Callithrix jacchus: one gene and its partners. The protein of the gene in region 4 purifies or fractionates together with the protein of the main gene of each other region. This does not show direct contact. Links are inferred from orthologs where the notes say so. Each region holds a gene or a part of one and is shown on either strand. Other genes may lie near its edges.

The links. The genes of interacting proteins can lie anywhere in the genome.
Region 1: the proteins of SNRNP70 (region 4) and SNRPD1 purify together in Homo sapiens (affinity purification with mass spectrometry; 6 studies listed by BioGRID and IntAct, counting the BioPlex papers as one, with this or other methods). This does not show direct contact. The link is inferred for Callithrix jacchus from reciprocal best matches to the Homo sapiens genes SNRNP70 and SNRPD1.
Region 2: the proteins of SNRNP70 (region 4) and ARGLU1 purify together in Homo sapiens (affinity purification with mass spectrometry; 3 studies listed by BioGRID and IntAct, with this or other methods). This does not show direct contact. The link is inferred for Callithrix jacchus from reciprocal best matches to the Homo sapiens genes SNRNP70 and ARGLU1.
Region 3: the proteins of SNRNP70 (region 4) and HNRNPR purify together in Homo sapiens (affinity purification with mass spectrometry; 3 studies listed by BioGRID and IntAct, with this or other methods). This does not show direct contact. The link is inferred for Callithrix jacchus from reciprocal best matches to the Homo sapiens genes SNRNP70 and HNRNPR.

What each region holds. Positions count from the first base shown.
Region 1 is NC_133514.1:64,591,644-64,599,319, reverse strand, and holds the end of SNRPD1 (small nuclear ribonucleoprotein Sm D1), read right to left. Parts: intron 6,999-7,676; coding exon 6,922-6,998; intron 5,885-6,921; coding exon 5,693-5,884; intron 3,922-5,692; coding exon 3,845-3,921; 3' UTR 2,368-3,844; downstream 1-2,367. UniProt on the Homo sapiens protein: Plays a role in pre-mRNA splicing as a core component of the spliceosomal U1, U2, U4 and U5 small nuclear ribonucleoproteins (snRNPs), the building blocks of the spliceosome.
Region 2 is NC_133502.1:22,211,067-22,218,742, forward strand, and holds part of ARGLU1 (arginine and glutamate-rich protein 1), read right to left. Parts: intron 3,989-7,676; coding exon 3,763-3,988; intron 1,947-3,762; coding exon of another isoform or gene 1,860-1,946; exon of another isoform or gene 1,714-1,859; intron 1,462-1,713; coding exon 1,378-1,461; intron 1-1,377. UniProt on the Homo sapiens protein: Dual function regulator of gene expression; regulator of transcription and modulator of alternative splicing. General coactivator of nuclear receptor-induced gene expression, including genes activated by the glucocorticoid receptor NR3C1.
Region 3 is NC_133508.1:60,065,861-60,073,536, forward strand, and holds the end of HNRNPR (heterogeneous nuclear ribonucleoprotein R), read right to left. Parts: intron 5,586-7,676; coding exon 5,436-5,585; intron 2,940-5,435; coding exon 2,818-2,939; intron 2,690-2,817; coding exon 2,077-2,689; 3' UTR 1,411-2,076; downstream 1-1,410. UniProt on the Homo sapiens protein: Component of ribonucleosomes, which are complexes of at least 20 other different heterogeneous nuclear ribonucleoproteins (hnRNP). hnRNP play an important role in processing of precursor mRNA in the nucleus.
Region 4 is NC_133523.1:42,897,178-42,905,591, reverse strand, and holds the start of SNRNP70 (U1 small nuclear ribonucleoprotein 70 kDa), read right to left. Parts: upstream 4,461-8,414; 5' UTR 4,267-4,460; intron 3,485-4,266; 5' UTR 3,475-3,484; coding exon 3,328-3,474; intron 1-3,327. UniProt on the Homo sapiens protein: Component of the spliceosomal U1 snRNP, which is essential for recognition of the pre-mRNA 5' splice-site and the subsequent assembly of the spliceosome. SNRNP70 binds to the loop I region of U1-snRNA.

The DNA.
Region 1 (7,676 bases), on a different chromosome or scaffold from region 4:
GGGTGTGGTGGTGAAGAGCGGTCAAGAGAAGCATGTTGCCAGGCAGTGGCTCACACCTGTAATCCCAGCACTTTGGGAGACCGAGGCGGGCAGATCAAGAGGTCAAGAGATTGAGACCATCCTGGCCAACATGGTGAAACCGCATCTCTACTGAAAATACAAAAATTAGCTGGGCTTGGTGGCACGCGCCTGTAGTCCCAGCTACTCGGGAGGCTGAGGCAGAAGAATTACTTGAACCCAGAAGGCGGAGGTTGCAGTGAGCCAAGATTACACCACTGCACTCCAGCCTGGCTGGCGCCTGGTGACGGAATGAGACTGTCTCAACAAAAAAACATGTTAAACTTTAGTCTGTTTTCTATTCATACTACAATTCTTTCTTTATAGCAAATGATGGTAATTAGTTCAAATAGCTTTTTCTTCACACAATTTTAGCCCTTTCACATGAAAATGAAATAATGACCTCTAGTGGAACAAACTCAATCTAGTATCCACTGTGGTCTATTATTACATTTAAACTGTTATTAGACTGGCTTCACACTGCAAACATCCTAGACATGAAAACTCTCAAAACAATTTTTTCTTTTTTTTGAGACAGTCTCACTGTCACTCAGGCTGGAGTGCAGTGGTATGATCTCGGCTCACTGCAACCTCTTCCTCCAGGGTTCAAACGAGTCTCCTGCCACAGCCTCCCGAGTAACTGGGAGTACAGACACCGACCACACCACCTAGCTAACTTTTCTATTTTCAATAGAGACGGGGTTTCACCGTGTTAACCCAGGCTGGTCTCAAACTGCTGACCTTGAGAGATTTGCCAACCTTGGCCTCCCTAAGTGTTCGAGTTACAGGCGTGAGCTGCCACACCAGGCCAAAAACATAATTTTAGATCTCTTATGTTATGCGGGCTATTTTCAAAATTTTTAAATTTAAGAGTCAAGTCTCACTAGATTACCCAGGGCTGGAGGGCTGTAAGTTGCAATCATAGCATGCTATGGCGTCAAACTCCCGGGTTCTAGCAATTCTCTTGCCTTAGCATCCCCAGTAGCAAGGACTACAGGTGTGCACCATGGTATCCAGCTCCAATTTTTATGTGGTACCTGCTTTCCTTTTAGTCTGTAAGTTCCATGAGGACAGAGCCAACTATGTTGATTTCCTACTCTTGCAGGGTTTTTCTGTTTGACCCCTTCAAATCTCCTCTCCACCTGCTGCATTACAGGAGTCTCTCCCCTTTTGTCTTCTGCTTGGATACAACCAATAGGAGCACCAATAGATCAGAAGATGGAAAAGAATGAAATCCAGATATTTATTCCCCAGCTCAATTAATGAAGGCAAAAAATTACATATTGGTTGTATCTTGTCATGCCGACCCACCTTTAATATACTATTAAAGAATTGTCTTAATCATCATTAATTTCATACATCCCCTTTTGGATCATAGAACCTGTAATAAAACTGGATGACCACTGCCGATAATTTGTGGGGGAGAAAAAGCTAATTACTACATAACTTCAATGACTTATGAAAAAACAGAACATCAACTGTGGAAAAATAAAAAAGTATTTACTTGATGAGGTAAGATACTTAAAATAGATATATTAGCTAATATGTATTTATACTAATATATAAATTTATATATCTTATGACAGGTACATTCCACATTTATATTAATATCTATTAGTATAAATATATATACAATTTTTTGAGATGGAAACTCCCTCGGTCGCCCAGGCTGGAGTACAGTGGCGCAATCTCAGCTCACTGCAACTTCCACCTCCCATGTTCAAATGATTCTCCTGCCTCAGCCTCCCAAACAGCTGGGATTACAGGTGCCAGCACCATGTCCAGCTAATTTTTTTTTATTTTTTAGTAGAGATGAGATTTCACCATGTTGGCGAAGCTGGTCTCGAACTCCTGACCTCAAGTGATTCCCCAACCCTGGCCTCCCAAAGTGCTGGGATTATAGATTTGAGCCACTGCACACAGCCGATAATGTTTTTAAAGTATCTTACCTCATCAAGTAAATTCAAATTTATTATATACTATATTTATATAATATACATTTATATGCACGTTTTATAGTGACTTCTTTATTTTTGCCGGGGAGGGGGCATCCAGCAGCACCCACCGAGTCCCTGCAAGCTATAGTGACTTCTTTAAAACATACACATCCCCACTCTTGCTCTCAATTTATATAAACCTCTTATAGGACTTAAACTTTTTTTAGGTAACAATCTTTGCAGAAAATTTCCCTATTTAACAATTCACATGCATGAAGAAAATACAGATTTAAGTCACCCACATCCTCAGTTTTTTTCCTTAGCATATAAATATTTGGTAGTAATCTTTACAAAAAACTGATACAGAGAGGCATTTTTCTGAGCTTAACCAATTAGAACCATTTTTTAAAAATCTTTATTAACAATTAGAACAGTTTTGCAGTCAAATGAAGTAGCTCTTTTCTCTTTTATTCTCAAAGAACCCCTTAAAGGATGCACTGACGTACATTCCACATTAACCTGTTTTAACACTGCTCACAACTGATAATCTAGTGAACATTTAACTCCAAGTTTCAACTTGGAGAACATTAAAACTATACCCTATTGAGAACTGATTAAAAAGCAAAAGAAACAAAAATCAGCAGCTAGAAAACAAAAGCAATGACCCTTAATATAGAAGACAACTTTTTACCAAGTACCTTAGACTCTGTGGAGTAAAACTCAGGAACAGCGAAATTTTTTTTTTTTTTTTTTTTTTGAGACAGAGTTTCGCTCGTTACCCAGTCTGGAGTGCAATGGCAGGATCTCAGCTCACTGCAACCTCCACCTCCTGGGTTCAGGCAATTCTCCTGCCTCAGCCTCCTGAGTAGCTGGGATTACAGGCACGTGCCACTATGCCCAGATAGTTTTTTGTTATTTTTAGTAGAGACGGGGTTTCACCATGTTGACCAGGATGGTCTCGATCTCTTGACCCCGTGATCCACCCACCTCGGCCTCCCAAAGTGCTGGGATTACAGGCTTGAGCCACCGCGCCCGGCCCCCCAGGAATTGAGAATTTTAGACCCCATCCCACAAGGACTTTAGTTTCTGAAATACCAAAAAGAACTTACTTCCCCTTGTAGGTGGGTGCCACAGAATGATGTCAGAGTAAAGCAATAAAATGCACATTCAGTGCATGTGAAGTAAAAGGGTATATATTCTATATAAGTTTAGCCTAAAGTTGTCTCTTTACATATCTTAAGTTTAGCCTAAAGGTTTCTCAGTACAAAGTGAACTGCAGCCTAACTGGTTATGTAAACAGATGGTACCCTACTCTTGGGCCAATTACTAAGTTTCAGCCAATCAAAGGCTGCGAACTGTTCAACCTATATTCAAATAAGGCAAACGCTGAACTGTAACTAATCCAGCTGTTGCTGTATCTCACTTCCATTTTCCATACATCTCTTTCCTTCTTCTGTCCATAAATCCTCATCAACTATGCAGCTGGGCTGAAGCCTCTGAACCGATTCTGGTTCAGGGGCTGATTTATGAATTGTTCTTTGCTCAATTAAACTGTCAAATTTAATTTGTCTGAGGCTTTTCTTTTAACCTTATTTTTATTATCATAAAAATAAAAATTTTAGTTCAAAACTTAAAGCCTGATCATCTAAAAATGAAACTGCCCAGTAGAAATGCTTAGCTTTCACTGTGGTATTCTTATGAATGTGGAGGAAACTACTAAAACTCTGATATACTCAATAGACCACTCTGTCCCACATTTATGTTTATTAAAAACTGACATAAACAAACACAACCTGTACAAAAAATATCCCAGATCCCATATGACTTTGAAACAGTAATCATGAGAAACATTATCGCCTAGGACCCCCTCTTCCTCTGCCACGGCCACGTCCTCTTCCTCTGCCTCGGCCTCGGCCTCTTCCTGCAACTGAGGGAAAAGAAAAACAAAGCAAATTCAATTCTCTTCTGCATGAATGTTACCTAGCCACCACAAACAGCGTTTACACACAGACACCTTTCCCCGTTTATAGCTCTTTATTAGCAGTTACAGTAAAGTTAAGTTTAACTAGCTTCTCTTAAATGTGTTAAGACTTCAGATTTCCCGCCACCCCCTCAACACATTATCATGCAGAACCAAGAACTAAAGGCCTAGGAAGATTATTATTTGTTTCAATTTATTTACTAAGAAATTTGTCAAATTTTAAATATGTTTTCTTTATATCATGTCTCAAATTCACCATAAAATGATTTGAACCTCACAAAAAATGGAAGAGATATATCAATAGAACATGAATAACCTGATGCCAGAGTCTGGTAACTGAATAAAATCCAAGCAAGTTAATTCAAATCCAGGAAAGTTTATAACTATGATATCAATCACAATCTTATTAACTCTTCAGAAAATTAAAATTCATTTGACCCAAACATAATCTAGTGCTTTAACCCATATAGCAATATCCCTGTCACTTGGTCATCCTAACTCAAGTTGAGTATCATGATGACAGAGAACTCATCACCCAAATAAACATTTCATCTTCAGACAGCTATAAATATTAGAAAATCCTGATACAGTCACATTCTAAATTTTCTTTTGGATATAGGGTCTCACTCTGCAGTCCAGCCTTTACAGACCCACCACCATGCCCGGCTCTTTTTTGTGTGTTTTTAGTAGAGATGGAGTTTCACTATGTTGGCCGGGCTGGTCTCAAACTCTGACCTCAGGCGATCCACCCATCTGGGCTTCCCAAAGTACTGGAAGCCACCATGCCTGGCTTCTTTTTCTTTTTAAAGAAAGAAAATAGGTAAGGCTTGGTGGTTCACGCCTGTAATCCTAGCACTTTGGGAGGCCAAGGTGGGTAGATCACGGGGTCAAGAGATCAAGACCATCCTGGCAAACATGGTGAAACTCTGCCTCTACTAAAAATACAAAAATTAGCTGGGTGTGGTGGCAAGAGCCTGTAGTCCCAACTACTTGGGAGGCTGAGGAAGAATATTAGCTTGGATCTGGGAGGTGGACGTTGAAGTGAGCCAAGACCATACCATTACACTCCAGCCTGGGTGACAAGAGCGAGACTCCATCTCAAAAAAAGAAAACAAAGTTCTTTTAGTAGAGATGGGGTTTTTCCATATTGGTCAGGCTGGTCTGTTAAAGAGTCTCCATGCTGATCAGACTGGGAGTTCATCCTGCCCTCAGGTGATCCGCCCACCTCAGCCTCCCAAAGTGCTGGGATTATAGGTATGAGCCACTGCATCCAGCCTAAAAACAAATTTAATTTAATTTATTTATTTTTGAGACAGGATCTCACTCTGTGTTGCCCAGGCTGGAATGCAGTGGTGGCATCTTGGCTCACTGCAACCTCCACCTCCTGGGTTCAAGCAATTCTCCCACCTCACCCTCTCAAATAGCTGCAATTACAGACATGAGAAGCCCCTATACCAAGACATTAAGAAATTTCAGAATACTAGGAATAAAGAGTCCATCTCCAAATCTTCCAAAGTGGGGGCAGGGGACAGAAAATGATAAATCCTTTGAACAGGAAATACATCAATGTTTTTAACAGCAACTCCAGGAGTTATAATACATACTATAGGAAATATTAAGCAACAAAGACACTTGTGTTGTTTACAAATATTTATATTATGAGTAGTGTAGATTAGGATTGGCATTCAAAAAAATGTTTATATTCCTTCAAACTTACCTGCTTCCCTTTTCTTAGATTTCACCTTAGGTTCAACATCCACAAGTAGTGTATCCAGAGGTAAACTGTCTGGTAGAATAAAGTATCGAATGTTATTTCCTCGAATACTCAGCGTTTCCAGCTGTACAGGTTCTCTGTTCTTCAGGGTCATTTTCACAGCTTTAAGATGTGTATTCATGCTGACATCCACACCTCAAGAGGAAAAGAATTGGGCAGTTATTAGTATGATACAAGGAAGGCAACTAATTAATCTACCAAGCCACAGTAAATACTGGACTACAAAAGAATACTGTTCTGCTACAGTGTAAGTTTTCTGTGACACAATTTAGCACGTGCGACTGGTAAATGGGGGAATAATGTTAGTATAAATCAGCAGTGTTTCCTTCCTAGAGATTTTTCCTAGCACACTAATGTTTTGCTTACAGAAGTGAATGCAGCAAGCCATGGAAGAACCCTGACTGGGCTTTAGGAGCTACCAATTTGACAGGTGTTTCTTACTTGTTTCTCCCAGTCATTGTAACTTCCTCATAAGCCCCATTCTACCAAACTATCCTCACCTTTGTTTCTGCTTCTATGTATACAAATAAAAAATTGTTACTGCTTTTATTAAGAATACTTTGATTATAAAGCTGCACGGGCTCTTAAGTAGTCTGCCACAATCTGTTTTTCTCATTAAGCTATTATTCTAAGATTTTACAAAATACAAAGCAAGATTTTTCAGGGTGAAAATATGACATTATAGCTGACACCTAATACTGAAGCCTTTCTCAAATCATATCTGAACAAATGGGATAACTAAATACCTACTTATGGGATAACTAAATACCTACTTAGGCCAAGTGCAGTGGCTCATGCCTGTGGATCATCTGAAGTCTACTGACCAGCCTGGCCCAATTCAAGACCAGCTTGGCCGACACGGTGAAACTTTGTCTCTACTAAAAACACAAAAATTAGCCAGACATGTGGCAGGTACCTGTGATGCCAGATATTTGAAGGCTGAGTCAGGAGAATCGCGTGAACCCAGGAGGTGGAGGTTGTAGTGCGCCAAGATCACACCACTGCACTCCAGCCTGGGTGATAGAGCGAAACTTTGTCTCCAAAAATCAATTAAATAATTTAGACAAAATAAGGATTTGTACTACAATAATGTTCATTAAGCAATCCAAAAAAGAAGCTAGCAGGTGGAAGAGAAGAAAAAAAATGTTATAAAAGCAGTCCAACCTCCATACCTGTGATTGTTCCATGGACCTGTGTTCCATTCTTCAATTCAATGGTTACAGTTTCATGACTCAATTTCATCAAAAATCTATAAATAGGAATAAAACCATTAATTTTTACCTGCAACACTTTAAATCACATTTATTAAGTTGAAAGGGTGAAACATCTAGATGTTGAAAATCTGCTAGATGCTACCTGTATCAATTCCTATCAATAATATGCATAACAATTTCAGCTTTTCCTGAATTATGTCCTCAACCTTTATGAAGGAGCATAACAATACTAACAAGCTGTCATTTGGATGTTTCTAATTTTCAAACCTCAAATCCAGACATACAAGACCTTAGACTGATTATAAATCATGAAAAAGAAATAAAGAATTACAGTTGGTAAGAAGATTTACAAGCATGGGCCGGGCACGGTGGCTCACACCTGTAATCCCAGCACTTTGGGAGGCCGAGGTGGGTTGATTATGAGGTGAAGAGATCGAGACCATCCTGGCCAACATGCTAAAACCCCGCCTCTACTAAAAATACAAAATTTAGCTGGGTATGGTGGCATGCACCTGTAGTCCCAGCTACTTGGGAAGCTAAGGCAGGAGAATTGCTTGAACCCAGGAGGTGGAGGTTACGAGCCGAGGTCGCACCACTGCACTCCAGCCTGGTGACAGAGCGAGACTCCATTTCAAAAAAAAAGATTACAAACTTATACACCTATATGTAAAGTAAAAATCTCTCTTCCTAACCCCTGCACTGTGGGTATGTTG
Region 2 (7,676 bases), on a different chromosome or scaffold from region 4:
TTAAAAAAATAAAAACTGGCCATTTACTGCCATTTGAAGTATTAGATTATGATTACCAATATTTTTTCCAGTAATCACACACCAAAAGTCATATTTCTATTTTCATGGGAGCAAATCGAAGACCTTAAGCGTAATCTAAGGAGGCCAAGCCATCCCTAGCTACGCCAGGATCAGAAGGGATCGATCTTGGCAGGGCACACTAAGCTTCCAGGCCACCCACAAACTGAAGCCACCACAGCTATCCAATCTCTTTAACATGTCCTAAAAGGAGGTGTAGTTCTATCTGGTCAGTAATTTTGCTTCAATGTTTTAACTGTCACACTTTTTTCCTCTCTTCTGAAACATCCATGCCTCACAAACCAGAGTGTATTTATCCTTCAAAGCTCAACCTTCTAATCTCAAATTCAGACTCATACTTTTCCTCTTCTTCCTATCTGCACTGAGATTCTCTCCTTACACAGAATCACTAACAAAACAAAAAAGTTATCAGATCCTTATTCATAAGCATGTAGTAATATAACTTATAATGATCATCCATTTCACATTCCTATTGCTTTTGCTACCTTAGCAGATTTTAAGATTTTATTGGGAAAAGCAGATGATAGCTTTCCAATAGATTTCATTATGGCCTTCACAAATACCAGGTGATATTTACCAAGAATCCATTGTGCCATGCTCACTAAGTTATCTGGAATATTTCTAGCATTATCTGTTACCTGGAGTGCACTATCTTTCAGAATATGATACTCTAGAAACGACTGTCCCACATTAACTTTTTACATTCCTATTAAGATTTATGGTACCCCTTCATCACTACTCTCAATGGGGTCCACTGTTAACTAATTAGACCCTCTCAGATGTTTTTCTGTGCATTTATAACCGCAAAATTTCTTTATACCACGTAATTGGAGCTTACAACTTGCTTTTCCCCCATCTTTCTATATTACGTATTACCGAAGACTTTGTATTTCTTGATAGATTATAAACTAGGGATAGGAAATTATTCTGGTACACTTACTATCAAAAATATACTATCTACTCCTGATAACAAGCCAACGAATATAAAGAAAAATGCTACATATTATAGTTGATTTAAATACACCTCCAAGCTTTCGTTGTTGGTGCTATTAGTTTTTCTGGCATAGCAGAAATGTGAATGAGGTTAGGAAAGAAAAAACTGCGATAGAGAACAAAACAAATTGAGTAGTAAAAATCTACTCAATTATTCCTATCTTTGCCTCAAAAAGCCTTTAAAGTTAGTCCAGAGAATTGCCTCAAAATAAGTCAAATTACAGAGCACAAAAATCAATCCACAAAATCTGAAAAAAATTAATAAAGCAAAATACAAAACACTCTTCACATACACTTTATACTTACCAGTTTGGCTTGTGCTTCTGCAATTTTTCGGTTATTCTCTTCCAGTATTCGCTCTAGTTCCTCACGTTTTGCACGTTCTTCCTCCTAAAGGGGAGGATATGTTAAGATGTTAGAAAAACAAAATGTTTATTTTTACTGATAAATATTTACTAATCTTCCTCTGAACTTTTTTGATATGACTTACGGGGTAGCTTTATAGCTACCTTCTGTCTGATAAATGATAAACTGTGCAGCCACTAAAATTGGTTTCTAGCACTAAATTTAAATCATCCCTCCCAGTCCAAACAGCAACCAACTAAACCCTCCCTAATGATAGTTTCCTGGCAATTATTACTAATACTTTAATATCACACAAATCAACAAGGACAACTACAAAACTGGATAGTATTTACCAAATTAAAAAAATAATATATAAAATATAAATAAAGTGAATATTTGTCTCACCAATTATGTATACCTACGTATTCTTTACCTATACTCCTTTAATCAGCATTAAAAGTTGAATATTTACTGTCTTGTCCAGTGTCCTGCAGAGTGTGCTCCTCGGCTGCCATACACGCCAGCTTCCTCTTTAAAATGATTTGTACTGTTAGCTTGGCAATACCTGCATCAGCAGCTCAACCATTTATAAAGAAACAACATACAAGGAAGGCTGAGCTGAGGAATGCAGATGTTTATGGTAAGAAGGAACAAAAAATGTAATTCATCATTCCTAAGGCAAACAATTAATAAGAAAAATACATTTACTGTTAGTGAAAAATACAAATGGTAATCCATACTTCATGGAACTACGGGCTTCTTCCATGGGGAAAATGGACTTAACATTCAGATGTTGACAATTTCGGAAGGCAGCTTATATTGTCATCTACAATCTGAACTGAAACTCAGAAATCCAGGGGATGCATGGTCAGGAAATAAAATTCTTCAACTTATTTTTTCTTGGAGAATTTAATGAAATTTTATAATGCAAACTGTATGAAGACTGCTTGATGGTTTGGGCAGTGTTCAGATCACAGCATACATATTCAAATAATTTTAATATTTGGAAAGACTGTCAGAGGGTTGTGTCCGTGTAAAAAAAAATTGTTAATATGAAACAAAAAAGCAAATGAAGAGAAAAAAATCTTACTATGATTAATAACTCGCTACAAGACAGCACCATTACTCCAAAAAATCTTCATTAAAAGCACTGCTATAAATAAAAATTTCATAATTCAATTTTATAGTCTGTGAAACCCGCTATAAATATAAGCGTGTATATCTAGTTAAAGACAGGACAAGGGAAAATGAATTTTAAAAGCTAAGCTTATCAGAAAGCAAAGAGATTTAGTATTTCAATTGTCCATAATGCAAAGATGAAAAATGACAATGAGTCATCATTATTTTGTGTCAAATATTTCAACTTACATTGAAGAAAATACAACTACAGGATTTCCTATGTCACACACCAATGGGATTCATATTCATTATGCAACCATGGTGACAGACACTCAGGGGTGTAAAGTAATTTGCCTTGAGTGTTTCAATGACTTTCACCAAGTTTTTGGATCCTGGAGTAATCAGTGCAAGCAAGCTATAAAGCTTCAGTAGCAAATTACTGTCTCACAGAAAGACATTTTCAACTTCTGCTCCAGCTGCTGATAAAAACAAATCATGTGTTTAGCTTGACTCCAGACAAGGACAACCTGTTCCTTCATAACTCTCTAGAGAAAAAAAGGAGTTGTTAGTAGATACTAAAAAAAGTGGATGAATAATCTGGATATTTTTCCTAAAAAGATTCCTTGAAACACATTAGGAAAATGGAGGGCCTTATGATCAGAATGCTAGAATTAGTCCATTGTGCTGAAGCAGGATTTGGGGTGGGGAGTGAGGGATAAAAGAAGGAAAAAAACAAGAGTGAGAAAACCTATTTATCAAAGCAGGTGCTATCACTCAATGTTAGGCCCTGCTCTTTTTAATCTGACTGAAGGCAAAAGCCTCTCACAGTCTAGGTAACAGAGTGATAGAGAATAGAATATACAACCAACCACAGGTGGATTTTTAACCTTTTTCCTTTACCACTCCCTGTCTCCCCACCGTCCTCCCAAGAAAGAATGTAAGTCCTGCAGCCATGGCAAAAGTTTCAAACACTTCTTAAATAGACAGCCAGTTCCATTAAATCAAAAAGTATCCTTGAATATGTTTTATAAAAGCTTCCAACTTTTAAGTTATCAGTCAGCACTTCTGAATAGGCTAAAAAATTAACTTTCGCAGCAATGTAAGTTTAGACGAGAAAGGAATTAGATAGTCTGTATTCCATCTCTTTCTGAACTGAGCAGGAGGCAGAACCCAACACTGAAAGTTTTGCCATGGACTGTCTCTACTTTCCAAACGACCGAGCGTTACCTCTCTAGCTTTTTGTGCTGCAAGCTCAGCTTGTCTCTGTCGCTCGAGTTCTTCGAGCAACTGCTTTTCCATGATGCGCTTGGCTTCCTCCACCCTTCGGAGAACTTCTCGTTCAATTTCATCCTTCCTTTTCTCCAGTTCTTCCTCCACCCTTTTCGCCACCAATTCTTCCACTCTTCGTGCTGTTTCTTCCTCGATGAGTTTTTCTTCTATTTCCTGCTGTCGACTAGCAAACAAAGAGAAAAAAATGAGTTGGACGTTTATTTTTAAAACTATGTTTAAACAAAACTAGTTTTAAGTCTATCAGGCCTTTGAGCTTGATATTATTCAGTGATTTTTAGAATTCATTTTCATGTCGCATTTAAGAAAACGGCAGATACCAAGATGTTAACTGATAAAGAAATTCAAATGAATAAAAATCTTTTTTTCTTTATCATATTCTGAATACAGGAAGTCAGGTATATACAAAGAACCTAATTCATTAGTTCTAATTTAGAAATGATTAATCTGAAACAGAAAATCTACTTCTGCTATCGACTTTATAATCAGAGGACACGCTGTTAAAATACATGGATTTGTTCGTTTGCTAATCCTTTCGGTCTGGGGTTGAGCTAAGGAGATGTAAGGAGAAATTATGTAGCAAGCAACTCAGACTGGCTAAATTCACTTCCCACTAAGCAAAAAGAGAATAAACAGATTGAAGAGATTCAGACTTCTGGAGCAATAGTGCATAGTTTTTACTGAAAATATGACCAACTTAAGTTTTGAACTGATATAAGAGCTTCATAGTTCCTCACTGTCTTTTCTTCCTTTTGTTAATTTTCAATTAAAACCTCCTCTAGAAGTGGGAAAGTGGGTAAAAAAATACTTTTATTACCAGAAAAAGTTCAATAAAGCATGCTACTACAGTCTGAATTACTCCAATCGCATTTTGATATTATAAACCTATTTACTCAAAATAAAATTTTGTGCTGAAATTATAGACATTTATCAAGGCACCACTGTGGAAATCCTGCACATTTTATACCAATGACATTCAGTGACAGCCACTAATCATATGTGTCTGTCTGAATTGAAAATTAATATAAAGAAAAGGAATATAAATGATGATCTCCTATTTTTATTTGATTGTGTGTTAAAAATATTTTGGATAAACTATATACTAAAATTAATTTAACTGGTTTCTAACATGACTACTTCTATATTGCATATATTGTTCATATTACTTCTACTAAATAGCACTCTGAGACAATAATTTGTGCAGAATGAATAAAGTCTGAGGCTCTTCCAGTATATCTAAATCCTAAGAGGCCAACTCATGTTCCAACTTCTCAAAACCCTGAAAATTAAAGAAAATCTGCAAGCTTTATCTTTTGATGACTCATTTGACATACATATGAGAGTCATTCAATTGATATGTTTAGTAAAGACTTTACAGTTTCCAAGAAACCTTTAAACACCCCAGTCCACTTCAACTCAACTCTATTCTTGGGGATGATTCAATTCTCACCCAAGGGTTCTCAAACTCCTGTTACTTATTCACAGTGATAACACACTAACACCAATGTGTCTTAAACAATCTGATATATTTCAGTTTCTACACTCTTCTGTCAAGGAGACAGTAGGTACTTGAGAAAGCCTATTTTCCTTTAAGAGCCTAGATGTTTGCAATACTCATTTCTCAGGAATCTGTTGTTTGTTTCTTAAATATTTCCCTTTCCCCTTCTAAAACTAAGTTTTTAAAAAAAGATATGAAAGCCTAAGCTATGCCCCTTTTCCTTAACTTCCAATTAAATACAGTACAAGAGTGGTTTCAATAAGCCTTTATCTACAGCAGCTCAGTATGAGAGCAGGTATCTTCCCCACTACTATAAAAAAAAAAAAAAAATCACATCACCAAGAACATATAAAAGAAAATCAGACAACAATTTCAACAGAAATTAAACTACATTTCAATATAAAATGTTGTCTCTCTACTTCATCCAAAGGGAAGGAGAACTAATAAATAAATGAAAGCAGGCTGACTAATATTGAATCTGGATAATGGATATACAAGAATGATGATAAAAATAATAATCTATCTTTGTGTATATGTAAATTTTTCATAATAGTTTGAAATGTATATACATACTCATTCTTGCTAGTTGGTTCTTCTGAAATTAGTAAATGTAGAAAAGCCTAAGAAGAAAATTAGTATTTAAAATTTCAAAACCACTACTGTACAATGTGACTTTTAATTAGCAATGCTAAGTGGATTACAGTACTATTAAAAAAAAAAAAAGATAATGTAACACAGTTCCAATTAAAACTCCACACAAAGCCAAAAGAAGGCCCTAGGAGTAGAAAGTTGCCAACTTAAGTTAGGAATCTGGTGAAGGTAGAAGAGACCTGATACTCAGGGTTATTTTTCTGACAGCTAAGCCCATCCCTAGGCAAAAGCACAATGGCTACAGTGCCTCATCCACAGGAGATAATGGGCCAAACAAATTTATTTACAGCAAAAGTCAAATCAGAATGGTGTCAGCTCCCTGCTTCTATTTCCACCAATTACACCAAATCAGAGGGCCCAGATAACAGGCAATACAGGCAGGCTGTGGGTTGCTCTGCTGTTAAGGAGTCAATTTTAACTATAGCTCAGCCACTTTATAGCCCAAAGGGTGGGCAAGTGGAAAGTCCCATGCGCAACTGAAACACTGGAGAATGAAAAATGACCTAGTGCGGTTTCGCACAAGGCTGCTTATCTCCCTTCGTTCCTGGAGGAACTGCAAGGCATCCCATCCATGCAACAGGCAGGTTTCAGGGTACCAGAGCAAAACTGTTTGCCTACAAGTGTTAGCACGAATATAATGTTTGCTGTTTTTCTTGGTAAATTTAAAAATGCTACTTCAGTAATCAGAAAAAATTTAAATCACATTTTAGAACCAGTGCTGAAGGACAATTTTATCCCCTCATCAAACACTTAATTCAGCAAACCAACGAGCACATATACAACTGAATTAAGCATGTATTCATCTTTACTGATGGCAAATTCATCATCATAATCAATGATAAAACCACTATTACACCTACTCCCATAAGAGGCACTGGAATGTTCTTGAGTGGGTCATTAGTGTCTTGCAAAATAGGTGTCATCTCATATCTAACAGTCTATTCACTCCTTAAAATCCTTGCTATAGTAGTTGTCACCCTCATGTTCTTTTCTCTAATCTTTTCCTCATGCTCCTCTGCTGAATATCCATTCCCCTGTCAGTAATACGTGATACTGATGAAAAGCGTTAAACCAAGATCTTCAAGGTTTTAAGTGGAAATGGTCCATTAATACTAGGTCCCATTTTCTTCACGCTCTCAGGTATTTTAAAAACAATACTTACAATGAACTTTAAAACAGAAACTATTAAAAACAAAACAGCAAGATTCCAGCACTCCAGCACTTAACAGAGTATTACTCCATACAGAGTAACTAACACCATTATTTAAAAACATCTTTAAAATGTGGGAACTCAATACTAAGGGCTTACTTCTAGGAATCGCATAATTATTAGCAAACAGTATTTATTTGTGTAGGTAACAAATAATATTGAGCCGAAAGCTTTATATATCATGTCATCATTTAAATCACATAATTATTTCTATGCAGTGGGTATGTACATCATCTTTCCTGAGGAAACTAAAAACAAGGAGCTTAAGTTTCTGGACTCAAGCACACTGGATGTTGCTGAGCTGTTTCTCTGAACCTAGGTAGATGACAAAGCTAATGATCTCAAGCAAGCACTATAATACCACCCTACACTGGTTTCTGCAGGACAAATCGAAGAGGCAAAGAGAAGCGCACAGAATTAACCAACAAAATAACAACAACAACAACAAAAGTAGAATAATAATTTAAAAAAAAAAGTATAGGCTGGGTACGGTGG
Region 3 (7,676 bases), on a different chromosome or scaffold from region 4:
ACAACTTTGTAGCTTGTAACACCTAATTAAGAAATAAAAACAACTCAAATTTGTAGGTTTTGTTCTTTCCAGGAAAAAAAAATCAGTGTATAGTTACAACTTCAAACTGTACTTTTAAAGTTTAAAAGCAGCATTTAAAGAATGTTTGGTGTCTTTACTTGCATACATGGGCATAAGAAAAACAACTGGTTCTGTTTTACCAAAGAAATACCCATGGTTAACTCAAAACTATCATACAACAGACCATAATTTCTTTATCAGTTTCCAAAAAACTAAAATATCAATGGCCTGTTAAACGACTGTACTGTGTAATAAGGGTACTTAAAAAAAGAAATGAAATATATTGACTTTCCTCAGTAAATATTAATTTTCTTATTTGAAATGAAAAGAAGCCATGAAACCCAAAATATGATCTAACCAAGATTACATGGAATTAAGTGGCTTATGATTTTGAAATCTAATATTCTTATCACAAAGACACCAAACAGTAACAAAACACAAAATAATGGTGTATCCATTTTAATTATTCCCCAATGGCTTCTGATGTTTTTATCACTATAAAAACATTTGAGAACCACGTAAGAATAAGATGGAAGGGAAAATTTAATAGTAATTTGAAAGGGATTCAGACTCTGCTGTACCGTAAAGCTTAGATTCTTTTGTTCCTCTCATTCTCAAGCAAAAAAGTCATTAAAATAAATCAGAATTTCTAAAGGAATAGAGAAACAGATGTTATGTATTGGCCAACAAAAAATTCAGGCATCAGGGATAGCAGATAACTAAAAATAAACGAGGTGTTAACAGAAAGTCAGGGGTATTACTACTGGATATTTTTAAGCCTCTCTTACAAGGCATAAATGTTTCTCAAAGCAAATTTACATAGCAATAGGAAATTATATTCATTAACTAAAATGGAAGTCACTATCATGTTTACTAAAACTAAAGCCTGCAGTGCAACTGACGCCACAGTACTAACAGTTTTCCCTGTATGTACATTCACTTATTCTGCAAATAAGGTCTTCAGCCACAAATTAACCCTTATAAAGAATGTGGGTCAAAATAAATTTGCAGTCTGCTTTCCCAGCCACATTTTGTTTTAACGCAAATTATCCAATGCCTGCAAAGAATGCTCAAAAGTCTTTGAACCTGTTTTTTTCTTTTAAATAAAGGATAAAATTTCAAAATTAGAAGAGACTATGAGAGAACACCAATTAATGAAGTGCTAATTGGAATAATACTTGAATTTAGACTAACCCTCAGTCTAATATCCACCATACATGTTGGAATAGACAAGAAATTTTGCATGAATTTGATCACTCACATAGGCAGTTATACTTTGAAAACAATATTCCTTGCAAGGATTACGAATAAAATGATGTTTTAGGACACAATTGAATTTGAAATAGGTAATGTTTTGAATAGATTTTTTAGTTTTATTGAAATCTTACATGAACAAGAAATTGGAAATACAATCACATCAAAGAACAAATTGTCACGGCTTTTGACGTTTAAGCCAAACAAATTTTGTAGGGCAGATTTCAAAAAGGTGTGAAGTTATAACAATTTAAAAACACAGTTGACCTACTTCTAGGAATGCAAAACATACAATCATAGGTTATTTTCAATACAAGAAAACTTAAATTTGTTTGCTTTAATCTCTTAAAACTACTAAGACAAAGCACTAGCTTGTATTTTTATTTACAGCATACTCCATACTCCTATGTAATCTATTCCAAATCCAAAAAAATGAAACTGTCCAAAACCAAAGGTTCTGCAAAATCATGATTTAACAGTGTGCCCAGCTTGTTTTGAAGCTAAAATGAAGCCTGAAACGATAAAAGCATTGTAATCCCCAGAATAAGGGAACTCTGCAAGCCCAATAATGTCCAAGAGCATTTATGAAAAGAGGAAAAATAAAAAGACTTGAGTATATACACAATAGTGATTTCTTCAGCCCAATACAAATGGCAGCAAATTGCTACTTAAAGATGAAACAGTTAAGCCATTTTTTTTTTGAAGAATGTAGATCTAGAGCCAATCGTATCTTGCCAGTATCATTTTCAAGCCCTTACTTGTCTACTTCCACTGTTGCCCATAAGTATCCTGATAAAATTCCTGGTTGTCATTATTGTAACCATAGTTACCAGAATAGTCACCACCTTGCTGAAGCGGCTGCTGAGCGATGGGTTGGGAACCCCAGTTCTGTTGGTTGTTGGTCTGACGACGCTTGGAATCAGGCTGGTTGTACCCATCTGCCTTTCTCTTGCCTCCTACATTGCCCCCACGATTGCCCCGAGATCCACGGGAACCACGGCCTCTCTGCTGTTGTGCAGGACCCCCTCTGCCACCCCTAGAGCCTCTTGGTGGTCCCAAAGGTGCCCCCCTCTGTGAATAGCCAGCTCTACCTCTTGGAGGTGGTGCTCCCCTCCCCCTTGGTGGTGGTGGAGCACCTCGCCCTCCCCTTCCTCCTCCTCTTCCTCTTACTGCATAGCCATCATCATAGCCGTAGTAGGGATCTTCATAGCCTCCACGATAGTCGTGATAATCATAACCATAGTAATCATCATAGTAATCTTCATAGCCATAGTAATCTGGAGGGTAGCCATATCCACCTCTCCCCCCACCACGACCCCGACCTCTAATTGGAGGTGGCATTCGAGGAGGAGGGTGGTAGTAATAATCTTCATACCTAGCAAAGGAGGGAAGGGAGAGAAGAAAAAACAAATTAGTTTGCTTCAAGACCCCTGATTTTATTAATCTGATCTCCATTATTGTTATTCCTTATCCAAAGAGATAAATACTAAAATGTAGACTCACGCAGTGCTTCTGGAGGCCTGTCTAGCAGCTTGACGCTCTTTCCTTTTCTTGTCTGGTGGCTTGGCTAAGACTATTTCAATTTCTTCCCCTTCTATTTCTTTGCCATTCATTTCATCCATTGCCTATATAAAATTAGAAAAATTAATTTACTTTACAATGTTTTATAATAAAACATAACATACACATGTCATTAATATACTTAATAAACAATTTACTTCACAATTATTTTAAATGGCAAAAGGTAAATCTAGCCAGAAAGGTAAACGCGCACACGCGCACACACACACAGAAAAAACGTTTCCCTTGACCTAATCTTTTTATATGTAAATTACATCAAGAACAAAACCAACCTCCTGATATTATATTTTAAAAGGTAAAATAGTTGCCATCTATTGTTTCTCCTTAATTCCAAATAACCAACTCCTTAAAAGATAAGCCATACTAAAGAAAGAAGCAAATCCATACCAGGGAAAAACGCCAGTATTAATGCAAACCAGACAAAGATTAACTTTTCAGGATTAATTTAAAAATAAACGTGTGGCATTCAACATACAGGTCTTACACTGTTCTTATATAAAAATTTCAAGGATCTGAAGCACAAATGAGGTTACTGAGTGAGATTATCTTTAAAATTCAACGAGATACCAACACAAAAAGCCCAAGTTCCCCTACAATGCTTAACCCAAAATGTACTCTGCCTGAACAGTTAAAAGTAGAGAGCCAGAAAAGGCCTGGACTAATGAAGTAATGAAGACTCAAGCAATTACGCAGAAAGCAGTAATCAAACATTCCACGTTCTTGCCCTTTGTTCATGCTGTTCCACCTAACAACCTCTGCCATTCATCAAAAGGTTCAGATAGTAAGAAAATGTCACCTCCTCGTAATTTATTTTTTGTTTCCCTCTACCTTTCCCCACTCTGGGCGCACATACTAAAAATGTTCTATTTATAAAGAACTATCAGTGATTTATAAGTATCTAGAAAAAAAACTGAAGACTTCAATTTTCCCTTTTACCACCTCAGCTTTACATTTCTTCCGTTAAAGCAACTCAACAACTTTACAAAAGCTTCCTGGCATAAATCAAAAAATGAAACATCTATTGTCTGCCCTGACCATCCTAGTGACTTCCCAGTTCCTGGACTAGATATTTTGTAATTTCATAGGCTTCTTTGGCAAACCATCCTAAAACAATCGAGACAGGAGGAATATTTGGAAAGCATAAATTATCAGTCATCTGCATTCTATACCAGTGGAAATTTCAGAAGCCACACATTAACAGTTAAGAGTGTAACAGTATAACAGGTAAGACTCCATATTTCAAAGCCAGGTTATTACTGAGTTTATGATCTTGGACAAGTTATGAATTTTATTAACAATACCATTCATTAATTAGCTACCATAAATGAGCAAGCCAATTAATTCTAAACTAGTCAGAGATTCTATAAAGCCTGTTTAAAATGCAGTAGCCTGGGCAAAAAACAAAACAAAAAAAATGCCCAAATTAGAGGTGCAGTACCCTGTCGACCAAATATGCAGAGAAAGAACCAAGCCTGTGTCACTGAGCATTCTGGATCTATCTTCCTAATAACATAAAAAAGATCTTAGTAATGTTTTGTCTTCCTTCCCATCCCTTCAAGGAAGGACAGATGAACAAGAAAAAGAAACTGAAATTTTCACCCATTAAAGATGGATCTAAACTGCGGAGCACAGTGGCTCAAGCCTGTAATCCCAGCATTTTGGGAGGCTTAGGTGGGCAGATCATGAGGTCAGGAGTTCAAGACCAGCCTGACCAACACAGTGAAACCCTGTCTCTACTAAAAATCCAAAAATTAGCTGGGCATGGTGGCATGTGCCTGTAATTCCAGCTACTCAGAAGGCTAAAGCAGGAGAATCACTTGAACCCGGTAGGCAGAGGTTGCAGTGAGCCAAGATCATGCCATTGCACTCCAGCCTGGGTGATAGAGCAAGACTCCACAAAAAAAAAAAAAAAAAAAAAAAAAAATATGGTCCATTGTCAATAGAAAGCAGAGCAGGTTTTGTGTTCCAGATAGTATATGAAAATACATTTTTCACACTTCATTGTCATCAAAGACTATTATACACAAGAGCTAACTCTAACAATTACTGAAATCAGTAAAACATAGCCAATGTTATTTTAACTCTAAAATAATTAAAGTAAAACTAATCATACCATCACAATGTATCTACCCAATCAAACACTGTATACTGTGAGAGTTATGTGCACCATTCAGTTTCCTTCATAGGTACACAAACTGAGGTAAACTAAGTAGTTATAATACATTCACTACCTATTTAGTGTTTACAGCAGCTAATTTTTATGCCTTGTAATACTTCCAAGGCATCATGCTATCAAATCTTACAAAACAATACAGAGATTAAAAATAGCTTGCCTAAAATCACCAACTCAGTAATAATCTGGCTTTGAAATATGAAGTCTTATCTGTCATAATACTACCACTTTAGAGATTAAATAGAAAGTTCCAGAGTTCAGCAAAAGCTAACAACCAATTTTATTTGTTTTTAAAGTTATTTTATGTGTTTAGCAACTTTTGAAAACAAAATTCAAATATCAAGAACCAAAATTCCAAAATTTCTACCTTAACGGCTGCTCCTCTGTCTTCAAAATGAACAAATGCATAATCTTTCAACTTCTTCACTCTTTCAAGTTTTCCAAATTCAGAAAATGACTTTTCCAATATTTCTTCTGTGACTGTAGTAGCCAAATTTCTCACAAACAAAACTTTTACCTAGTAAGCAACAAATAAACGGAACTGTAATTGGCTACTTAATTCTACCTGAAAAGTGTTTCTTCCTGTCTTCAAAGCATAGGCTTTTCCCCTCTAAAACATTAAGTGCTAAAAGTGCTGTTACAGGTAGTATAAGAAACTGCTAGGAAAATTATACTAATAGCAGTCATCAATTTATAAAAACTATTGGTTACTGCCTTCTCCTATGTTGTCATTAAAGCACCTAACACTGAGTAGAACCTTCAAGAAACCAACATATAATTATTATTTCAAGTTAATTAACAAATTTGACATGGTCCCCAAGTCCACTTCAAAATAAGCTTTTCTTTCTTCCCTCTAAAACCAAGTAACTTTTAAAAGTTCATATGAAAAAATAAATAAGCAAGAATAACCAGGGGGAAAAAAAAGTAAAATTTAGAGACTGGCCCTACTGAATATAAACAAACATAATCCTTAAATCACTAAATCAGGTACTGTTAATCAGAAAAAAAAAAGATAAAAGATGGTCCACACTTCACACTATAAACCAGCATAAACTCCCAACAGATTGAAAATTTAAATGATAAACGGGTGGAGGGAGGACTAAGAAAGTATCAGAATAAGGATGATTTCTTTATATATCACTGGAGTGGAGATGACCATATGACTTAAAATCCAGGATACATAAGAGTGATATACTCAACTACTAAAAATAAATGACTTCCATATGGCAAAAAATACCACAGGCAAAGACAATAAATATGGAAGAAATATTTGCAACATGTATCATGAACAGCTAATCTCTCTTTTATATCAGAGCACCAGAAAATAATAAAAAGCTCAACAACTGAATAGAAAAATAGGCAAAATTCATGAATACATGGTTCACACCAAGAAATGTATATGGCTCTTAAAATATATTTAAAGTTCAAACCATGCATAGTAAGAGAAGCAAATCATTAATGACACTGACACACCATTTGTTAACAGACTGGCAAAGTTCAAAAGTTTGATCATACACTGTTTTGTCAAGAATGACGAAAACTGTTCTCTTGTATTTTCCTGGTAGAAATGTAAAACAGTGTATGTCCTACAAAGGGTATATGGCAGTATCCTAACAATTACAGATGTATTTACCCTTTGGCCTACGATTCTACCCCTAAGAACCTCTCCTACAGATATATCTCAACTTCTATCAATTGATACAAGCTTATTCATTACAGCATTGTAAGAGCAAAAGATCAGAAACAATTAAATATCCAGCTGGTTAAATACACTATAGTACATCCACAGAATAGACTACTATGTAGTCATAAAAAATGAAAGAGAGCTCTATGAGCTATAAGAGATTGACAGGATACACTGCTTTTCCATCTCTGAAATAGAGAAACAACTTAGTCAATGTGATAAGCAAGCATTGTGCAATAGTTTAGTTAGCAGTGTTTTATCATTTCTTAGTGGTACATATAATAATGGTACATTTCCTTAGAGCTGATGAAACAGGATGGTGAATAAAGCAAATGTAGGTCAGTGAACATGATAGGCTACCAACATTACTACCACTCATTTAAGAATTAAGGAAATAAGAATATATATTTGTACTTGCCTAAGGAAATATTAAAAAGATAAACCAAAAACTACTAAAACTGGATGCCTTGCAGGGGAAAAAGGAATTTGGTAGACATAGGCACAGGGTAGAAAGGAAATTTGTCTAGACTTTCTATATAACTTGAACTAAGAAAATGTAGCACCTATCCAAATTAAAAAACTAACATACTGAACAAATTGTTGCTTAAAAGGGCTATCCAATAAGAAGACATTAATTTAAGGAAGAAAAAAAACTAACATTTTTCACAAATGCTCCATTCCCTTTATTCTCAATCTGTCACACTGAGGTCCAGCCTCTATGTTACACAGACTCCCACTGACTTAGTTGCTTTTTTAAAAAAATTCAACATGAACTTTTCTACGATTAAACCATAACATACTATATGAAAATTACTTAGTGAAACTGTGTTTAAAATGTTCAACAGGAAAAAGGGTCCCTTTAAGAGACATAATTTAGGCTTTTAGGTTCTGATCTATTGTAAACTGATCCAACTTGGCAAAAAA
Region 4 (8,414 bases):
CTCAATCTCTCGACCTCGTGATCCACCCGCCTCGGCCTCCCAAAGTGCTGGGATTACAGCCTTGAGCCACCGCGCCCCGCCAGGTCTTCTATTTTTTGATGCAAAGTCTTGCTATGTGACCCAGGGTGGAGTACAATGGCGCGACCTCGGCTCACTGCAACCTCCACCTCCCAGGTTCAAGCGATTCTACGTCCTGCTTTCCCCTCTGTGCTGTCTCTACAAGGAACCCACTAGCAATCGTGTGTTTCTAAAAGGAACCCAGGAACTGACTAGAATCGTTCAAGTGATTCTCCTGCCTCAGCCTCCTGAGTACCTGGGATTACAGGTAAACGACACTATGCTGGCTAATTTTTGTACTTTTAGTAGAGAGGAGGTTTCACCATATTGGCCAGGTTGGTCTAGAACTTCTGACTGTAAGTCTTTCTTTAAAAAGTAATTCTAGGCCGGGCGCAGTGGCTCACGCCTATAATCCCAGCACTTTGGGAAGCCAAGGCAGGTCATGAGGTCAAGAGATGGAGAACATCCTGGTCAACAAGGTGAAACACCGTCTCTACTAAAAATACAAAAATTAGTTGGGCATGGTGGTGCACGCCTGTAGTCCCAGTTACTCGGGAGGCTGAGGCAGGAGAATTGCTTGAACCCAGGAGGCGGAGGTTGCGGTGAGCCGAGATCGTGCCATTGCACTCCAGCCTGGGTAACAAGAGCGAAACTCCGTCGCAAAAAAAAAAAAAAGTAATTCTATCCTATTTATCAAAAGCATCAATCTGCAACAGATTGGAAACTGCCCTTCACCAATGACAGTTTGAAAAGCACTGGCACAGGTGACACCTAGCTTAAAAATACAGTGCTGAAGGTCCCTGTCTTCCATATTCAGGAAACACGCTGCTTCTCACAGCTCCAAGCATCACTCACATTGAACAAAGTGCCAGAAGATGTGATGGGAGCGGAGTTACGGGAGGGCCCTGTTTATGAGAGTCAGTTAAGAGGACCAGGCCTGAAGCAACATGAGCTGACAGGACAGGACTCCGAAGCCCACACTGCACACCCTCTGAGTGCCAGGGCAGCACTTAAAGGTGTCACCAACCATGCATTAAATAGTAACTGGTTGCTGGACGTGGTGGCTCACGCCTGTAATCCCAGCAGTTTGGAAGGTCAAGGCTGGTGGATCACTGGAGGTCAGGGGTTCGAAACCAGCCTGGCCAACATGGCGAACCCCTATCTCTACTAACAATACAAAATTGGCCAGGCATGGTGGCACATGCCTGTAATCCCAGCTACTGGAAAGGCTGAGGCAGAACTGCTTGAACTGAAGGCTGCAGTGAGCTGAAATCACACCACTGCACTCCAGCCTGCGCAACAAAAGTGAAACTCAGTCTCATAAATAGTAACTGGCACATCATCATCAGAGGGCATCTACCACCTGCCTGTGCCCATTAAATTAAGTTAATTGGCTAGTAACATTTCTTAAGTGCTGGTTCATCCAGGGTGGCAAATCCCAATGAAGATCCACCTTCCTATTATCTGTGAACTTGTTTTTTTTTTTTGAGATGGAGTCTCACTCTGTCGACCAGGCTGGACTGCAATAGTGTGATCTCGGCTCACTGCAACCTTCACCTTCCAAGTTCAAGCGATTCTCTTGCCTCAGCCTCCCAAGTAGCTGGGACTGCGGACACGTGCCACCACGCCCAGGTAGTTTTGGTATTTTTAGTAGAAACAGAGTTTCACTACATTGGCCAGGCTGGTCTCCAACTCCTGACTTCGTGATCTGCCTGCCTCAGCCTCCCAAAGTGCTGAGATTACAAGTGTGAGCCACCACGCCCGTCCTATCTAAGAAGTTCTGCTCTGCAACTCCCTCCACCTCCAGCTGCCCATTCCTACCCAATGCGAGAATGTTCTTGTAACTTCTGGCTGTGTGCCAGCTTTCCTCAGGTGTCCTCAGATACGCCTACAAGATGACCATTGTCATCCCAATTTCACAAATAAAAACAGAGAGGTCCAGGAGCCTAAGTCATTCATTCCTGAAGTCATTTACCCTGAAGGTGCAGAACTAAGATCCTGGTCTGGGGTTTTAAGCCCTCCAACGCTCGGTGCTAGCCCTTTATGAACACCATCTTATTAACAATAAAAGTAGTAAACAGAGTAGCAAAGGCCGACATAGGCTGCCTGCTTGATGCCAAGCCCCCTGACATACACATTGCCATTTAATTCTCCACCAACAGTATGAGGGGTGCTACCACTATCCCCTTGCTAAAGATAAAGAAACCAATGCATTAAGATACACATTTGCCCAAACTCACAGAGCTATTAAATGGTGCAAGCCAAGTGTGAATCCTCAACCACTACTCAACTGAACTTTCTCACAGAAATTCTACAAAAGGTATACCATCAACCCCACTTTTTTTTTGAAATGGGAGCCTCACTCTGTTGCCCAGGCTGGAGTACAGTGGGACAATCTCGACTCACTGCAATGACTGCCTCCCGGGTTCAAGTGATTCTTCTGCCTCGGCCTCCCAAGTAGTTGGGACTAGCAAGCACCATCACGCCCGGTTAAGTTTTGTATTTTTAGTTGAGATGGGATTTCACCATATTGACCAGGCTAGTCTTGAACTTCTGACCTCAGGTGATCCACCTGCCTCAGCCTTCCAAAGTGCTGGGATTACAGGTGTGAGCCACTGAGCCCAGCCTCACTTTGTCTGTTTGTTCGGAGACAGTACTTTCTATTGCCCAGGTTGGAGTGCAACGGTTCCATCTGGGCTCACTGCAACCTCTGCCCTTCGGGTTCAAGTGATTCTCCTGCCTCAGTCTCCCGAGTAGCTGGGATTACAGGTACCCACCACCATGCCCAGCTAATTTTCCTATTTTTAGTAGAGACAGGATTTCATCATGTTGGCCAGGTTGGTCTTGAACTCCTGACCTCAGGTGATCCACCCGCCTCAGCCTCCCAAAGTACTGGAAATTACAAGCATAAGCTACCGCACCTGGCCACAAGTCCACTTTAAAAAAAAAAAAAAAAAAATTTTTTTTAAGAGATGAGGTCCTGTTCTGTCACCGAGGCCGGAGTATAGTGGCGCAATCACAAAGCAATCCAGCCTCCAACTCCTGGGCTCAAGCAATCCTCCCACCTCAGCCTCCTGAGTAGCTGGAACTACAGGTGCACTCGACCACACCTGGCTCCAACCCCATTTAAAACAGGGAAACTGAGGATCACAAAGATGAAGCCAGTCGCTTAAATCACACAGCTAGCAAATCCAGTCAGAGGCTGGACTCCCAGATCCAATCCTTGCACCCCACAACCCAAACCATTCCTGGCCTGCTCAGTGAACTCACCTCAAACTCTCGAATGTACGGCGCAATGCCACAGTAAGGTTGATTGTGGTGTTTTTCATGTGGCAGTTTCTCCAGGGGTGGCAGGTATGGGATAGGGTCACGGGGGGCAAAAAGGGCCAGAAGGTTGGGCGGCAGGAACTGGGTCATCTTGCCAAGTCTGAGAGCAGAAGCAGGACAGCCTTAGGTTAGATTGGGTCTGCACAGAGAAAGCCCCTATTTGTCCCCTGACTCTCAAAAAAAAAAAAAAAAAGAAAAAGAGAGAAAACAGGAGTAAAGTCTCGGAATTCGAAGAGGCTCTGAAAGGGCAGAGAACCGTCCTACGCTAGAAGAGAAAAGGGCATCTCTTGGTGGGGGTGGAGGTGAAAATCAGGCCCGTAAAGGAAACAAAAAACAAAGGCTGGAAAAGGGTTCCTGAGCAGTGAGGTCTCAGAGTCCTGACCCACGAGCTGTGTGGCGGAGAGCTTCCCTGGGGATTTCTGGGGGAATCAAGGACCCGAGAAAGGAGGCACAGAGCAGTTGTGGCTGGCTGCTCGTCTCGTATCTTGGAGGACAAATTATGAGATGCGGTTTGCAGAGGCCTGGAGGTCTGAAGTCTCCGGGCAAAGAGAAACATAAGCAGCGAAGCCCCAAAGCCAAGCGCCTGTGGGTAACAGACCTGGGCGCCCCCAAGACGAAAGGAATTATGGGTAAAGGTCCAGGACAACATGGAAAGACGAAAAAGAAAAAAGGCCATACACCGCAAGGGCCTGTGGGTAGGGGACCTAGGACGCTACGGGAAGCAGGCGTGGGTGCGCAGAGGGCTCGGGTTTCGGGAAAGGGATGCAGAAGGGACCTGCAGCAGGGGACGCGGCAAAGGGGCCTGGCTGCAGGTAAAAGTACCGGGGCCCACCGCAGGGGCTTGTGGGTAGCGGCCCAGCACCCCGGACCACTCGGCCACACTCACTCGCCGCGCGGCGCCCTCCTGGGTCTGGCGTCGGTCCGGAGGCTCGGGGCGGCTGCGGCGGCCCCTCAGCAACAAGAACTTCCGCTTTGGCTTCCACTCCGACGGCGTCCGCGTCTGCCTGACTCCCTTGCCCGCGCAGCGAGCGCACAAGGCCGCTGCTCAACAACCCGCGCGGCCTCAGCTACCGACTGGAGCAGGGGGTGGGTCTCGACCTGAAATCCCTCCGCCGTCAGCACTGCGCATGCGCCGCGAGAGGCCAAGACCTACCCACACACCAGGCCCAGGAGCCGTCGCTGGCAAAGCGCACGCGCGAGGTCACTACCCCGCCTTCGGGCACCTTGAGTACCTCAGTCTCCTGGAGCTGGCGTCTGCGCTGCGCGCGCGCGCTCAGCCCCAAGCCGCCCCTCCACCTGCCGCTTTCCGCTCCGAACCGCCTATGTCCACGAGACTCTCTCTGACGCTCCGCCCCTTTCCCGATCACACTTCCCTGATTTTTTTCGCGCATGCGTGTTGTGTAGAGTACTGTAACGTACCTCTCCGCCGCCTAGCAAAGAGTCCCTAAGTGAATAGCCTGATTGCGTTGATGTCTAATCTATTCAATCAACTGCTCATCGAGCATCTCGTATGTGCTAGGCACTGTCTGGGCTTTGGGGGCTACAGCACGTGACTAAAGCAAAGTCTTCTCCTGCTTGGGCTTACATTGTACTGAGGGAGACAATAAAAGCGCTTGACTGAATAAAGATAGTTTAAGGGCTGGGCCCGGTGGCTCACTCCTGTAATCCCATCACTTGGGAGGCCGAGGCAGGCGGATCACCCGAGATCAATTGTTCGAGACCAGCATGGCCAACATGGTGAAACCCCGTCTCTACAAAAAAATACAAAAATTGGCCGGGCATGGTGGTGTGAGCCTGTAACCTCAGCTACTCTGGAGGCTGAGGCAGAAGAATCGCTTGAACCCAGGAGCCAGAGGTTGCCCTGAGCAGAGATCACCGCCATTGCACTCCAGCCTGGGTGACAAGAGCGACACTCTATCTTAAAATAATAATAATAATTTGAGATGGTGACCAGCATAATAAAGAAGGACAGAGCAGAGTAAAGGGATGGGAAGTGAGAGTGAGGCCATTTTATAAAGGGTGATAACGGAAGGCTCCTCTGAAGTGTCATTTGAACAAAGGCCAGATAGAAGCAAGATCGGGGGACGGGGAGGGTTAACAGCAGGCGCAAAGGTCCTGAACTGGGACCAGATGGCAGGAATCTCAGGTTGTTGGCCGTGAGATCAGAGAGCTGGCATTTATTTTATTTAAGGCCCTGTTGTTAAGTATTGCATTTTAAGTTTTGTGGATGGATTCAATAGCCTGTTTAATAACTATAGAAATTATTGCAAAATTCAAATGACTAATTTTCAAGAAAAAGGCCAGCAACTCAGGAGGCTGAGGCAGGAGAATCGCTTTAACCTAGGAGGCAGAGATTGCAGTGAGCTGAGATCGTGCCATTTCACTCCAGTCTGGGCAACAAATTGAGACTCACTTTCCAAAAAAAAAAAAAAAAAAAAAATGCCAAGTGCATTGGCTCATGCCTGTAATCCTAACACTTTGAGAGGCTGAGGTGGGTGGATCATGAGGTAAGGAGTTCAAGACCAGGCTGACCAACATGGTGAAACCCTGTCTCTACTAAAAAATACAAAAATTAGCTGGGCATGGTGGCTCCTACCTGTAATCCCAGCTACTTGGGAGGCTGAGGTAGGAGAATTGCTTGAACCAGGACCCAGGAGACGGAGGTTGCAGTGAGTTAAGATCACACCACTGCACTCCAGCCTGGGCTACAGAGTGAGACTCTATCTCAAAACAAATGCTCTTTCTTCTCTTCCACGTTGCCAGTTTGTGATTTTTCCAAACTTTTCTGCTGTGCTGCTTCCTATTTATGTATGTATTTATTTTCCAGAGACAGGGTTTCACTGTGTCACCCAGGCTGGTGTGCAGTGGCTATTCGCTGTGTCACCCAGGCGGTGTACAGTGGCTATTCACTGCCATGATCCCACTCACGTCGATCAGGAGTTTTGACCCGCTCCATTTCCAGCCTTAGGCTAGTTCACCCCTTGCCAGGCAACCTGGTAGTCTCCCGCTCCTGGGAGGTTACCATATGGAAGCCAAACTTAGTACGGACACCCAGTTGCTGGGGGGGACGGCAATGGAAGGAGGGCTCACAGAGTGCCTCTGTAAAATAGCTGCAAACGGTGGGAACAGTAAAAAGCAGCAAACTGCCCGGCCTCTGGGGAGGCAGACGTCCCCAAGCCTTCTTGTTCCACGTGCAGAGTGACCTTGACTCTGTAACAGTACATAACACGCTCAAGGGCTTTAAACCCTTTTGCAGCATTACAAAGTAACCAGACTTGTAGGCCCACCAGCTACGTTGTCTATTGGTAAGCATACGTTTTTAGCGCTTGAGAAACTCACATGAACTGCCACTGTTAACAGTTATGTGTTTCATGCACAGCCTCCCTCCACCGACTCACCCTGCCGCCTGCACTACAGATAATAGCGATCGTGTTCAGTATATACTGGGCCTTCACTGCCTCCAGTAAAGAAGTGATCATCCCCTGGTCCTGCTTTCTCTCCTAATCTATCTTTTTCTAATTCCTTTGTCACCACTGAACTCAGGGTACCCATGGATGGGTGTGGGGCTGGCTCCCTACACCAGTCAGCATAATACAGTACAGCCCAGAACTCCTGTGCTCAAACAATCCTCCCACCTCAGCCTCCAAGTAGCTAGGACTGCAGGCACATGCCACATGCCACAGAGCCTGACCACTTTCCCCCCTTTTTATTTTATTTTATTTTTTGTCTTGAGACAGTCTTGCTTTGTCACCCAGGCTGGAGTGCAGTGGTGTGATCTCGACTCACTGTAACCTACACCTCCTGGGTTCAAGCAATTCTTCTGCCTCAGCCTCCCATGTAGCTGGGACTATAGGCACATGCCACTATTCCCAGCTAATTTTTCTATTTTTAGTACAGACAGGGTTTCAGCATGTTAGTCAGGATGGTCACGAACTCCTGACTTCATGATCCGCCCACATTGGCCTCCCTAAGTGCTGAGATTACAGGCATGAGCCACTGTGCTGGCCCTGTTTTTTTTTTTTTTCTTATTTTTTGAGACAAAGTCTCACTATGTCGCTCAGGCTGGAGTACAATGTCACAATCTCAGCTCACTGCAACCTCCACCTACTGGGTTCAAGTGATTTTCCTGCCTCAGCCTCCCAAGTAGCTGGGATTACAGCACCCACCACCATTCCTGGTTCATTTTTGTATTTTTAGTAGAGACAGAGTTTCACCATGTTGGCCAGGCTGATCTTGAACTCCTGACCTCAAGTGATCCACCTGCCTTGGCCTCCCAAAGTGCTGGGATTACAGGTGTGAGCCACCACATCCAGCTGAACCACCATGCCTGGCACCCTTTTAATTATAAATTCCAACTTTAAGTCATATGTCTTTGCTCCTGTATCTGCTCATAGGCTGTTTAGAAGCTGCCATATCGGCCGGGTGTGGTGGCTCACGCCTGTAATCCCACCACTTTGGGAGGCCGAGGCGGGTGGATCACGAGGTCAAGAGATCGAGACCATCCTGGTCAACAAGGTGAAACCCCATCTCTACTAAAAATACAAAAACTTAGCTGGGCATGGTGGTGCGTGCCAGTAGTCCCAGCTACTCGGGAGGCTGAGGCAAGAGAATTGCCCGAACCCAGGAGGCAGAGGTTGCAGTGAGCCGAGATTGCGCCATTGCACTCCAGCCTGGGTAACAAGAGCGAAACTCCGTCTCAAAAAGAAGCTGCCACATCACTACCTGAACACTTTGAAGCTTAGAGACCCCAGGTCATCATTCTTAGTTCAACCTTCTGCAGATCCCTAGAGCGTGGATACAATGTGGCCAGGCTGTTTGCTAGATTATAGCACACGTCACCTTTACTCCAGTTCCCAGCAATTCCTCATTTCCACCTGGGGCTTCATCAGCCTGGATTTCACTCCCCACATTTCCATCAGCATTTTGATCACAACCATTTAACCAATCTAAGAAGTTCCAGGCCGGGCGCGGTGGCTCAAGCCTGTAATCCCAGCACTTTGGGAGGCCGAGGCGGGTGGATCACGAGGTCA